3 linked regions of the Diceros bicornis minor genome follow. The protein of the gene in region 3 purifies or fractionates together with the protein of the main gene of each other region. This does not show direct contact. Links are inferred from orthologs where the notes say so. Each region holds a gene or a part of one and is shown on either strand. Other genes may lie near its edges. The genes, in order: DOCK5, NEDD9 and CRK.

Evidence for each region.
Region 1: the proteins of CRK (region 3) and DOCK5 purify together in Homo sapiens (affinity purification with mass spectrometry; 3 studies listed by BioGRID and IntAct, with this or other methods). This does not show direct contact. The link is inferred for Diceros bicornis minor from reciprocal best matches to the Homo sapiens genes CRK and DOCK5.
Region 2: the proteins of CRK (region 3) and NEDD9 purify together in Homo sapiens (affinity purification with western blotting; 3 studies listed by BioGRID). This does not show direct contact. The link is inferred for Diceros bicornis minor from reciprocal best matches to the Homo sapiens genes CRK and NEDD9.

Annotation. Positions count from the first base shown.
Region 1 is NC_080750.1:68,673,424-68,677,170, reverse strand, and holds the start of DOCK5 (dedicator of cytokinesis protein 5), read left to right. Parts: upstream 1-915; 5' UTR 916-1,090; coding exon 1,091-1,133; intron 1,134-3,747. UniProt on the Homo sapiens protein: Guanine nucleotide exchange factor (GEF) for Rho and Rac. GEF proteins activate small GTPases by exchanging bound GDP for free GTP. Along with DOCK1, mediates CRK/CRKL regulation of epithelial and endothelial cell spreading and migration on type IV collagen.
Region 2 is NC_080753.1:55,284,592-55,288,338, forward strand, and holds the start of NEDD9 (enhancer of filamentation 1), read left to right. Parts: upstream 1-1,194; 5' UTR 1,195-1,365; intron 1,366-3,747. UniProt on the Homo sapiens protein: Scaffolding protein which plays a central coordinating role for tyrosine-kinase-based signaling related to cell adhesion. As a focal adhesion protein, plays a role in embryonic fibroblast migration.
Region 3 is NC_080757.1:16,260,340-16,264,086, forward strand, and holds the start of CRK (adapter molecule crk), read left to right. Parts: upstream 1-1,192; 5' UTR 1,193-1,288; coding exon 1,289-1,529; intron 1,530-3,747. UniProt on the Homo sapiens protein: Involved in cell branching and adhesion mediated by BCAR1-CRK-RAPGEF1 signaling and activation of RAP1.

The sequences.
Region 1 (3,747 bases), on a different chromosome or scaffold from region 3:
AGACGTGGATGTGCCAGGTCCCCTTCTCCGCAGGGATGCTGGTCTGTTGGAAGCGGGACGTCTTGGGGCGGACTTTTCCCTTGAGCATGAAGGTTTGAATTGCTTCAGCCAGGGACTCCTCCGGGTGTTTTGGGGATACAGGATTTCCAAGTTAGAATAATTTTTTCCCACAGAGGCTCTGCTAGGAAAGTATTTGATACTTCTGAGGAGGCCGTCTCCCCTGCATCAGTTCTCTATTTACCAGAAGACAAATGCGCCTGCTTTGAAGGCGATAAACGGTGGCCACAGGAGATCATGTCTGCCCCGGAGTCCGGCTTCCGGCTCTCACGGTGTCAGTTAAAGCTCTAGAGAGTGAACGCAGGAGTCAACTGCTCATTCATTCAGCAAATATTTACGGAGCGCCCGCTGAGTGCCAGGCACTGGGGGTGCCCCGGGGGCGAGAAGCAACTCATCAACTCATACTAGTTCCCACAGGAGCTGCGGCGCGCGCAGTGGGAGCCGACCCCGCACCCCGCGCCCACCCGCTGCCGGGCCGCCCAGCCTGGGTGTGCCCAGCGCCTCCGGCGCAGCCCTCGGGCCGCCCGCGGGGGGAACCCGCCCCACGGGATCCAGTCTCGGGGGTTTAATCCGGGTGGGGAAAAAGCAAAACACAAGGAAAAAACCGTACCCCAGTCTGCACTGGGAAGCTGCTCCTGGGAAGCGCGCAAGGCGGGGCCCGCGCCCGCCCGGGCCGGCGAGAGCGCGGAGCGCCGGAGCGGGCGGGAGGCCGGGCGCCCGCGGGTCGGGCGCGGAGGCGGCCCCGGCGGGCGGAGGGCGCGGCCGGCGGGAGGGGCCGGGGCGGCGCCGGGAGGGGCGCGCACAGCGGCGCGGCCGCCCGGCCCAGCAGGTGACCGCGGGCCGAGGCCGGGGCCGGAGCGGATCCCGTGCGGACGCGGGCGGCGCGGCGGGGCGCCGGCTCGCGGGGTCGGGCGAAGTTTGCCGGAACATGGCGGAGGAGCCCGGGGCGCGCAGGAGCGCGGCGCGGCGGCGGCCGGCGCCCCAGGAGCTGTAGCCGCTGCAGCCGCCGCCGCCGCGGGCTGAGGTGGCCGCCATGGCCCGCTGGATCCCGACCAAGAGGCAGAAGTACGGGGTTGGTGAGTGCTCGCCCCACCCCGCCCCCGACCCGGCCGCCGGGAACTTCGCGGGAGCCGCCCTGCCTTGCGCAAAGTTGGGCGGCGGACGCCGGGCCACTCGGCGCGCGCGCTGCCCGAGGCGGGGGTTCGGCTCCCGCTGCAGCAGTTCTGGGGGCGGGTGGGAGTCGGAGTCCTTTCCTGGAGCCCCGTGGGGGAAGTCATTCTGAGTTTGGGAAATCCGAGTGGCTAGAAGTGCAGCTGGGCTCCGGGACAGGTAATCCTCCCGAATCCAAAGCTCCAGCACTTTGCATAGGAGAAACGTCAAAAGCGACGGTGCTCGCCTCTTATGCATTTGGGGCACCCAACTCTGGTGCTCGCCTCCCTCCTCCCCATCCGTATGGTTTCATTCAGTAGTTTGTAGCCAGCCCAGGTCGGAGGAATGCCAGTGGTGTTCGCTGCCCCAGTGCTTTCTGCTTTCCCTCTTCTTAGGTTGTCTCTGAAGCCCCGAGTGAGGAGTTGGGGGTAGAAAGCCGCCCTCCGCCCCCTCGTTTCCTCCCAGGGCCTGGGATCCAGATAACAGTTGTAAACTGAATGGGAGACTAAAGTTGTGGTGGGGAGGTGATGGAAGAGACAGGAAGTGTGTGGCATGGGAACGAGGGTGGCTGCCCCTGGGGCCGATGGGGCAGACGCTCATCTCCTAACGGAGCGTATATGGAGAGGGGTGAGGACTGCCTTCTGAATCCCGAGTTTCGTCGTGGGATAAGACGAGGGCATTTTATTAAGAACACTGTGACAGATCCCGCGCCCGGCACTTCGCATTCGTAACAGCGGTGCTAGAGAGTCCCTGTCGTGCGGAGGGATTACAGTGCTGTTGGTTTGGCCCCGGAACGGTGGCTGTGTGGGGTTTTGACCCAGGTGAAAAGCCGTGGTCCTTCTTCCTACCAAGGAGTGAGGTTGCTGAAATGTGGGAACGCTGCTGTTCGCGGGGCGATTACAGTGGCAGTTCGACTTCGGAGCGATTCCCTGGTGTAAACGCAGTTGTGTGTGTTGAGAATTTTATCACTTCCTCTTAGGTTCATTCATTTGGCCTGTTTGTAACTTAATCTTTCACTTCCCTCCCTGCCCCGCCCCCATTTCTCCTCACCTCTCTGGTTACTAGGGAGGGAACCGTCCCAGCACCTGTTCTGAGCTTTCTGACGGCGAGGTCAGTTTCACGGATACTCAACGTCCCTGGTGCTCTTCAACTCTGTAGCCCCGAGTCAGTTAAAGAAACAAACTCTCTCATATTTACTATATTACTCTTAGATTGAGATCCTTTATATATATGTTTGTGTGTATGTAATTAGATATATAATTGCTTGTTTTCCCTCTATTCCAAAAACTTTTTTCCCCTTAAATTTCTGTTAGAATCCTTGCACTCTGGTATGGCTACAACTCAGAAACAGGTAGGTGGTGTTTCTCCTGCCCCAGACCACCCCGTCATGATTTGGTCATGACGCTTCAGACGGGGACTCCTACTCAGGTGCCAGTCAGTAAGTAGCCAGTGGTTTTGGAAGTGAAATGCTCTAAAATAGATGGACTCAATTTCTTTATTTTTGAATGTTATCTAGTATTTACTAAATTAAAGCGTGTTTAGCAACGCCTAATCATTAATTACTACTTTAAGAAAGTTATCAATTCTGATTTTGTTTAAGAGGATAAAAGCTATTTCCAAAACCAGTATGACTTCAGTGTAGGTGATGCAAACAGATCTCCCAAATGTGGTTTTTATTGCCATAGTCATAGAAGCAAGTATGATATGTTCTCTTTTTGATTTTTTTTTTTTTCCTGTTCTGGAGTCAGGTTACCATGTTTTTTATCTTCCATCAAGAAAAGTATTTGAATTGCATTTCCAGGGCATAGGTGCTAGCAAAATTGCCCCAGGATATAATTTTGGACACTTGTTTCATTAGACACAATATATTCTGCTTAATCTGGATTTGACAGAAGGACCACTGTTAGCACAGATTAGCTGATGAGATATATCTCCATTGTTTATTGCTAAAACACATTGTTGTTCATATCACCTCCCTGATTTGAAGCCTTCCTTGGCCTGCAGGGTAAGATGTAACTGAGCCCAACTTTCAAGATTCCCATAATCTGGTTCAAAGTGTCCTCACCAACCAACCTTATCTCCTGGCTTCTTTCATTTACCGCCCCCCCCCGCAGATACTGCTCTTCTAGCTCTTGTGCAATAGGCCACAGGCCTGGAGAGTCCCTCCTCTGGGACTTTGCTCCCTTGTTCTTGCTCCCTGTCAGAGTGCCCGCCCACCTCTGCATCCCACAGTCCAGCTCGGGACAGTCCTCGGGGCTCAGATCCACTGCCAGTGCCTCCTTCAGGTTTGGTGTTCACCAGACCTCCCCAGGCATTCCCGCCTCTTCCTCACAATGCCTGCAGTGTGCCTACCTTATTTCATTGCTTCTCCTCGTATCCTCGGGTTCAGCTTATGGTTTTGTATCCCTGTCACTCACCGGGTGTAGCAGGTATAGAGCCTGCCTTCAGTAGTCATTGCATGTCCTTGGAGTTGGGGTAGCATTCTAGCTCTGACCTAATTTCTGTGACGATTTAATGCAGGGTTATTTTGTTTGTTTGTTT
Region 2 (3,747 bases), on a different chromosome or scaffold from region 3:
TGAGCCGTGTGTTCGCTTCTTTGTTTAAATGTGGCATCTGCTAAAGGGCCGAGTATTCTTCAATATGATTCAGGCCAGCTCAACATTTAAAAATAAATGACATGGATCTGAATTTCAGAGAAGTGTTATGGGAAATTAAAACAAAACAGCAAAAGTCACGAGAGTGCAACACACAACATGAGCAGAGTGTGAAGACGAGAGGGGGCCAACAACAGTCCTTTCCTTGTCTTGGTGATGGAGCAGAAGCATCAAGCACCACTGGATCATTTGGGGAGTATCACCTATTCAAACTATCTCCCCTCTCTTCAACCCTCTATGTCCCCCAGTCATTTCCTAGGCACGAGGTGAGAAGTGGAGAAAAGAAGGAAAAAAGGAAATGATTGAGCTTATAATAGCATAATTTGCCACTAATAATAATAGCAAACTCTTGTATACTGCTTATTTATTTGTCCCAGGCACTCTCTGGGTGTTTTCATACACTAACTCACTTAATTCTCACAATAATCCTATGGTTATTCCCATTTTACAGATGAGGAAGCTGAGGCACAGAAAGATCAAAAGCATTTATTTGAAAGGTAGAGCCATAATTCACACCTGGGTATTGGCCTCAGAGTATATCCACTTGTTTGCTACTCAAAAGCACAGCTAGAAGAAGACTAGGGCTGTGAGGCTAAGTAACTTTCTAGTTCCCTTCCACATACTCAAATCTGAGCTTCCACACCACATTGTACACAGGAATTTTCCACGTGGGTAGTTACCCCCTAGCAGGGCGCTTGTCACAGTACAGGCTCAATAAATACTTGTCAAATGAAAGAATGTTTCATGTCAATTTACAGTGAAACTCTTTGGAACATATTGAGTCCATAAAACCACAAAATCCTGACTTGGTTGGCCTAAAATAGCCTAAATTTTTGCCTCAATGCAGCCTAGAAAGGAGCTTAAACCACTAAGGAAGTACATTGCACAGAATTTCATTGCAATAATAATGTGCAGATCACCTATCTTTCTCAAATTAGGAAATGGTGCAGAGTAGAACTATATTTCTTACCTGCCCCTAAACTGCAGATATCCGCAGTGTGTCAGGAGGTCTGACAGAGAACACAGAGAGGAAATGAACTGAGACAACATCACTTCAGAGCAACCGGAAGGAAAAACACACACATACCTACGCCTCTCACATTCTACGTGTGGTTGCTCAGTGGGGAAATGCTTACAGCTGCCTTTAGAAGCAAGCCCGGAGACTGCAGCAGGAAAGAAGCCTAATCGTGGGGCAGGACTGAGCTGCCACCTCCTGCCTGCCCACTCGGAGAGAGGGCAAGAACGCCAGGGATACCAGATGATCCACCAACAGTGGTGCTGCCCTGGGTGAGTTCTCAGACACTTGCTGTGGCCTGAGGGGAGGAACAGGGGAGACTCACTCAGACTCGGACTTCCTGAGTTGGTGTCAGACATCTGGTGGTATTCCCCACTGTTAACACCCCTTAACCGAAGCTGGGAGGGACTTAACATGCCCCAAAGGAGGAAGGATGGCTCTAGACCTCATTCAAGTTAACCTGGAGGTACTGGCTTTAAGGCAACTTAAAACCTACCTGATTCTATTTTTTTTTTTTTTTTTTTGTGAGGAAGATCAGCCCTGAGCTAACATCCGTGCTAATCCTCCTCTTTTTGCTGAGGAAGACCGGCTCTGAGCTAACATCTGTTGCCAATCCTCCTCCTTTTTTTTTCCCCCCAAAACCCCAATAGATAGTTGTATGTCATAGTTACACATCCTTCCAGTTGCTGTATGTGGGACGCAGCCTCAGCATGGCCGGAGAAGCGGTGCGTTGATGTGCGCCCGGGATCCGACCCCGGGCCGCCAGTAGCGGAGCACATGCACTTAACCGCTAAGCCAGGGGACTGGCCTCTGATTCTATTTTTAAAATCATCCTGGGTAGTGCTTCCTGGTGTGTAGAGTAGAGGCTCCTCCCCAATTCCTACCATCATCAGAGAGTTCTCCTGTGCTAAGCTGAGCTTTTACTCTCCTCAACTCTTTCAGTACTTTAAAGTGTGGGCTGCCACTCACACTTGATGGTAGATTAGAGTCATTGATAATATCATTTTCAGCCACTCTGGGAATGACTCCTGAGGGGCAAGAAGCAGCGATTGAGAACTGGCTTCAGTGTGTGTCCCAGCTCTGCAGAGAGCTGGTCATTAGCATCATCTCTAAGGGGCTGGGGACAGATTACACTGTGCTCTGCCTGTCCACATTGGGCCACCGCAACAGCTCCATCCTTCCTTTTCTCTATATTTATTAATTCGTTTAACTCATTCATTCATTCAATTGCCTTTTTCCCACAAGGGATTTGAGGCAACTCTTTTATCTTGCTGAAATTACTTCAAAATGAAGAACACATACAACTTGAAAGAGGGAGAGTCATTCTAAAAGGGTTTTCTGTTGTTTAAAGCTGGTGGAGATGGGCGAGCAGGCTTTTCCCTGTGCTGGTGATGAGAGGGGAGAGTGGGTGCCCCAGGCTTTTTAACTCCTGCTTGAGGAGCCTGTCCTTTCCCTTAGTGGGGAAGCTAGTTTCCCATCCAGAAGTGGGTGTGAAGAGCAATTGTCCTTGACAGAACCCTGGGAACCAGCCAAGCGGTTTTCCTCCTTGTTTCTGTTTCCTCCTGAGTTGGGTTATTTTCAAGGACATTCCTGTTCTAAGAACGGGGCAAAGTGGAGCTGTGGAAAGGAAAGAATATGAAATCAGTTTTGAGTTAGAGCTCCACCATTTCTCATTAATTAGTTCATTTATTTAACAACTATCTAGTGAGTATTCACTGCGTGGCAGCCACTTTTAAGTCAAAACTTACATAAGATGGAGCAAAACTGACGTTGCCCTGCCCCCAAAAAGCTTACGGTTGAAGGGAGAGGCAGACGTTAATGATTACATAAATATGATGAGGACCAGAACGTGTCGCGGGGGAACCTGATCTCATCTGGGAGTCAGGGAGGTTTCCATAAGGAAGGCAGATATGAGAACTGAAAGAGGTGTAGGAGTTCACAAGGCAAAGGGAACAGCCTATACCACACCCCGAGGTGGAAGGCCACAGAATTGTCCTGCAAAATTATAGCCAGTATGGCCAGAGGGAAGAGGGGGGTGGCTCAAGGTGAGCCTGAGGGACCAGGTTAAAGATGCTGCTTATTCTAAAAGTGTTGGAGAAGGTAGGGGTGTTGTGAACTGATCTGCATTTTTTTTTTTATTGAGGTAACATTGGTTTATAACATTATATAAATTTCAGATATACATCATTATATTTCAATTTCTGTGTAGACTACGTCATGTTCACCACCCAAAGACTAATTACCGCTGTACACACATGCCCTATTACCCCTTTCATGTTAAGGAATCCCTTTTGATACAATGTGGAGAATGGATGGGAGGAGGCACGCCTACAGACAGGGAGACTAGTTAGGTTGATGAAGTCAGCCAGGCAAGGATGTCTGTGGGAGTACAGACAAGACAAGGGTGGTAGGAGTGGAGATAGAATTAGACAAATTAAAGAGCCATTTAGAAAGGAAAATCAACAGGACTTGGTGGTGGACAGGAAAGGAAAACGAGGGGGAAGTGTCAAAGATGATCCTGTTTCCTGGTTTCGGCATCCAAATGGATATTGATGCTGCTTGCTGGTCACAGAGACTGGAAACGCTGGTGGAGACCAGGCCCAGGGTTAGTTCAGTTCTGGAGCTGATGATTTTGGAAGGCCTAGCAGACATGC
Region 3 (3,747 bases):
ATTTTTTGTATGTGAGATGCCTCCACAGCATGGCTGATGAGTGGAGTATGTCCATGCCCAGGATCTGAACCCGCGAACCTGGGGCTGCCGAAGCAGAGTGTATGGAACTTTAACCACTAGGCCACGAGGCTGGTCCTAAACCGAGAGTTTTAACATCTGGAGACTGTTAAAAGTTTTACACAGGGTAGCCACAGACTCAGAGTTGTAATTTAGAAAGTTCACACTGGCAGATGTGCAATGCAATTAGGGGCAGCAAGACTATAGAGCACCAGTGAGCAGGTTGTTCACAGGAATACAGATATAGGTATGGGATACAGAGATAGAGATGATTATGATGGCAAGGAGTGTAGAGCACACCCATGGCCACAATTACGGTTTAGAAGAATCTGGGCAGATGACTTGAGAGCCTCAGTAGAGCCTCCATACTTCTGGCTTGGCATACTCTGTTCCCTTTGTCTTGAATGCCCTTCCCCACTTGCCGTTCAACATTCAGCTCAAGCCACCTCCTGTGGGAAGCCCTCTTGGATCGCTCTACAGGCTGGATTAGGGGGCCCTGCTCTGTGTTCCTGGAGTCCCTAGTCCGTTCCCTGTCATAGCACTTGGCATTCCTTTGTCTTTGGCTGTTTCCTGGTTCCTCCCACTGGTCTGAGAAGGCGGTGAGGGAAGGATCCAGCCTTGATCACCTTTGCACCCGCAGGGCAAATGTGGTGTCAGTAACTGTTTGCTGAATGAATCAATGAAAACAAGAACTTGAGCCGGCCTGGGGAGAAGCTGGAGGAATCATCAGAAAAAAGACCGTCTCAGGGAGCTCGGGCCCTGAGGCCATGTCATCTTTGCTACTCTAATTCTGTGTCGGAGTCGCTGCCTAGAAGTTCTGGGCCTTCCAGGATCTCGAAGCCTGGCGGAGCTAAGAACCGCGTGGGCAACCGGGCGAATACAAACCTCCGCGGACTGCCGGCTGAGGCCCCGCCTCTCGGCCCTGGACTCCACCTCTCCATCCTCTGCAGTCCCAGTCCCTGCCAGGCGGCGACGCCCATGAGGCCGCATGCGCAGTGAGAAAGCAAGCGGTCCCTCGCCCTTCTCCCAATGGCGGGCGGCGGTCCCCTTCCCGGCGTCCTCCCGGGGGCAGGGAGCGCGTCATTTCCGGTGGGGAAGGCCCGCGGCCGCCGCCGCCATTTCGGGCGCTGCTGTGAGGCTGAGAGCGGAGCCGGTCCGCTGGGCGGCGGGCGCCGGGGCTGGAGGGGCGCGCGGGGCGGCGGCGGCCCAACGTGTAGGCGCGGAGGCGGCCATGGCGGGCAACTTCGACTCAGAGGAGCGGAGTAGCTGGTACTGGGGACGGTTGAGCCGGCAGGAGGCGGTGGCGCTGTTGCAGGGCCAGCGGCACGGGGTGTTCCTGGTGCGGGACTCGAGCACCAGCCCCGGGGACTATGTGCTCAGCGTCTCGGAGAACTCGCGCGTCTCCCACTACATCATTAACAGCAGCGGCCCGCGCCCACCGGTGCCGCCGTCGCCCGCCCAGCCTCCGCCCGGTGAGGGACGGACGGGACGGGAGGCCCCGGGCGGGGGTGAGGGCCGCGGAACTCCCCAGCCTGGCCGGCTGCTCCTCGCGAGCTGACCCTCACGAGGGACGTGGGCAGAGGGCTGGAGTGACCATGGCAGGGGGCAGCCTGCTGCCGGGGCTCATTCCCACCGACGAGCGGGAGTGCGTGGGGGAGGAGGAGCCGCTGACCCAGGCCTTCTCTGGGTGTGACTTGGGAGGACAGCCCAGGGGAAGGGGAACTGCCTCGGTCCCAGGGTGGGGCTAGCGCCTGGGCCAGGCACAAGGGCAGAGCCGGGCAACGTGGGGACAAAGAACTGAGGGGGATGTTGGCACTGCGGGGGCATCGCTTGGCAGCGGTGCCCAGAATGAGTCCGATAATCTTGCAAGTGGCTTTTTAGGCTTGAAACATTTCCTGCAGTGTTGGAGAGCCGGGTTTGGCTATACTCCCCTGGTGGCCTTTGGTAGGAAGTCACCACATACTGGCCCGGAGGGATGGAGACACCTTCAGGAAACCGGTCAGCTTTTTCCTTTCTTGGGCATTTTTCCAAAATACTTTTACCGTCCTCTTCCCCCGCGGAGGACGAAGGTGGTGAGCTGAGTGCCTTGGTGATAGAAGAAAGCCCTCCACGACCAGCCCACAGTAAGGTGACGCCCAGCTGACCGTGTCACAGAGATTTTAGTGTCCAGAGACTGTCCTCCACAATTAGGGGGTTGTAGTTTTCAGAGTGTTTAACGGAGGAAAGATTTTTTTCAGGAAATAAACCAGAAATAAGGCAGTGGAAACAATCCCTTCCCTGGCAGGGAATGGAACTTCATTTTTCCTTGGACTTAAACATTGTCAGTCTTCTACTTTAGGGCGTCTCCGTGCTCAGTAAGTTGGGGCTGTGGCCTGAGTCTTGCTAGGTATTGGGAACAGACCCCACCAAGCTGATTCTCTGAGAATTTAAATTATCTGCACTGGATGTTTCTTGCCAAGCATCATTGAGGTATGACTCTCTTACCCATGCCGTTGGAGGTGTTTGGGAAATGTTAAGGAGATTTTTGCACATAGTACTTGAGATTTGTGAGGGACACGGTAATTCTGAGGTTGTCGTTACCTGTCTAACAGCACAGGAGTTCTGGTGTCTTCTCACTGTTCCCGGGTTGAAGCAGTTTCCTCCTCACCAGCCCAGTCTAGATCCAAGCCAATCTCGTGTGAATTAGGAGGCTTCTGAGCCAGCCTTTGCAGACATGCCCTTTTAGCATAGTCCTAATTTAGGTTTATTCACTCTGGCCAGAAATGGGGGGACAGGATAATCAGTCTCTTTGTTGTTAACCCTTGCCAATTTTTAAAAAGAATGTGGGATCTTTAGTCCACAAATTGTCCTAGGTCTTTCTCAGTCTGGTAGGTTTAATAGCATTATGACAGGAGATGATAATATTGATGTAACATATATTTGCCCTAAACCAGATATTTTCTGCTGTTTACAACCTGCACAGTATCTAGGGTTTTGCATTATAGTTTAGTGACATGATGGCAAACTGTCACCGAAGCTCAGTTCTCAACCTTCTGTATGTGTATGTGTTCTGTTGGTTGCAAAATTTGGAAATGGCAGTAGGCAGGTTTGTTTGAGCTTTCTCCACATGTTGGCATTATGACTTTATATCGCAGCACTTACTTTGGTATTGAGCTCCACCTTTTCATAGCAGATATGAGTTCAGATCCTTGGCCCAAGAGAGAAGGTGAAGATTGCCAAAGTTTGTGGATGGGGTGTGGAAAGTTCATGGGCATTGTGGTAATTCTTTGTGCTGTGTACCCTATTTTTCACATAGGATCCAGTTGCTGTCTTTATCAAGATAACTTAATCTTTATTCTACCCCTCCTACATGAAGCTCTTTTCCTTTTGAAATCACACAGAGGACTTTCTTGAATTTTAGAAAGGCATATACAATATTAATAGCTAACATTTATTGACTGGTTATTCTGTGCCAGGTACTTTGCTGAGTGCTTTATGTGCCTTATCTCATTTACTGTCTGTAACAATCTAGTGAGGAAAGTACTATGATCTCCATTTATTAAAATATTTCCATTTTATAGATGAGGAAAGTGAGAGAGATTCAGTAACTTGCCCAAGGTCACACAACTAGTAAATGACAGAGCCAGAATTTGAACCTAGGAATTCTGACCTGAGTGCTGACACTGTTACACTGTACTCTTTTCTGTCAAA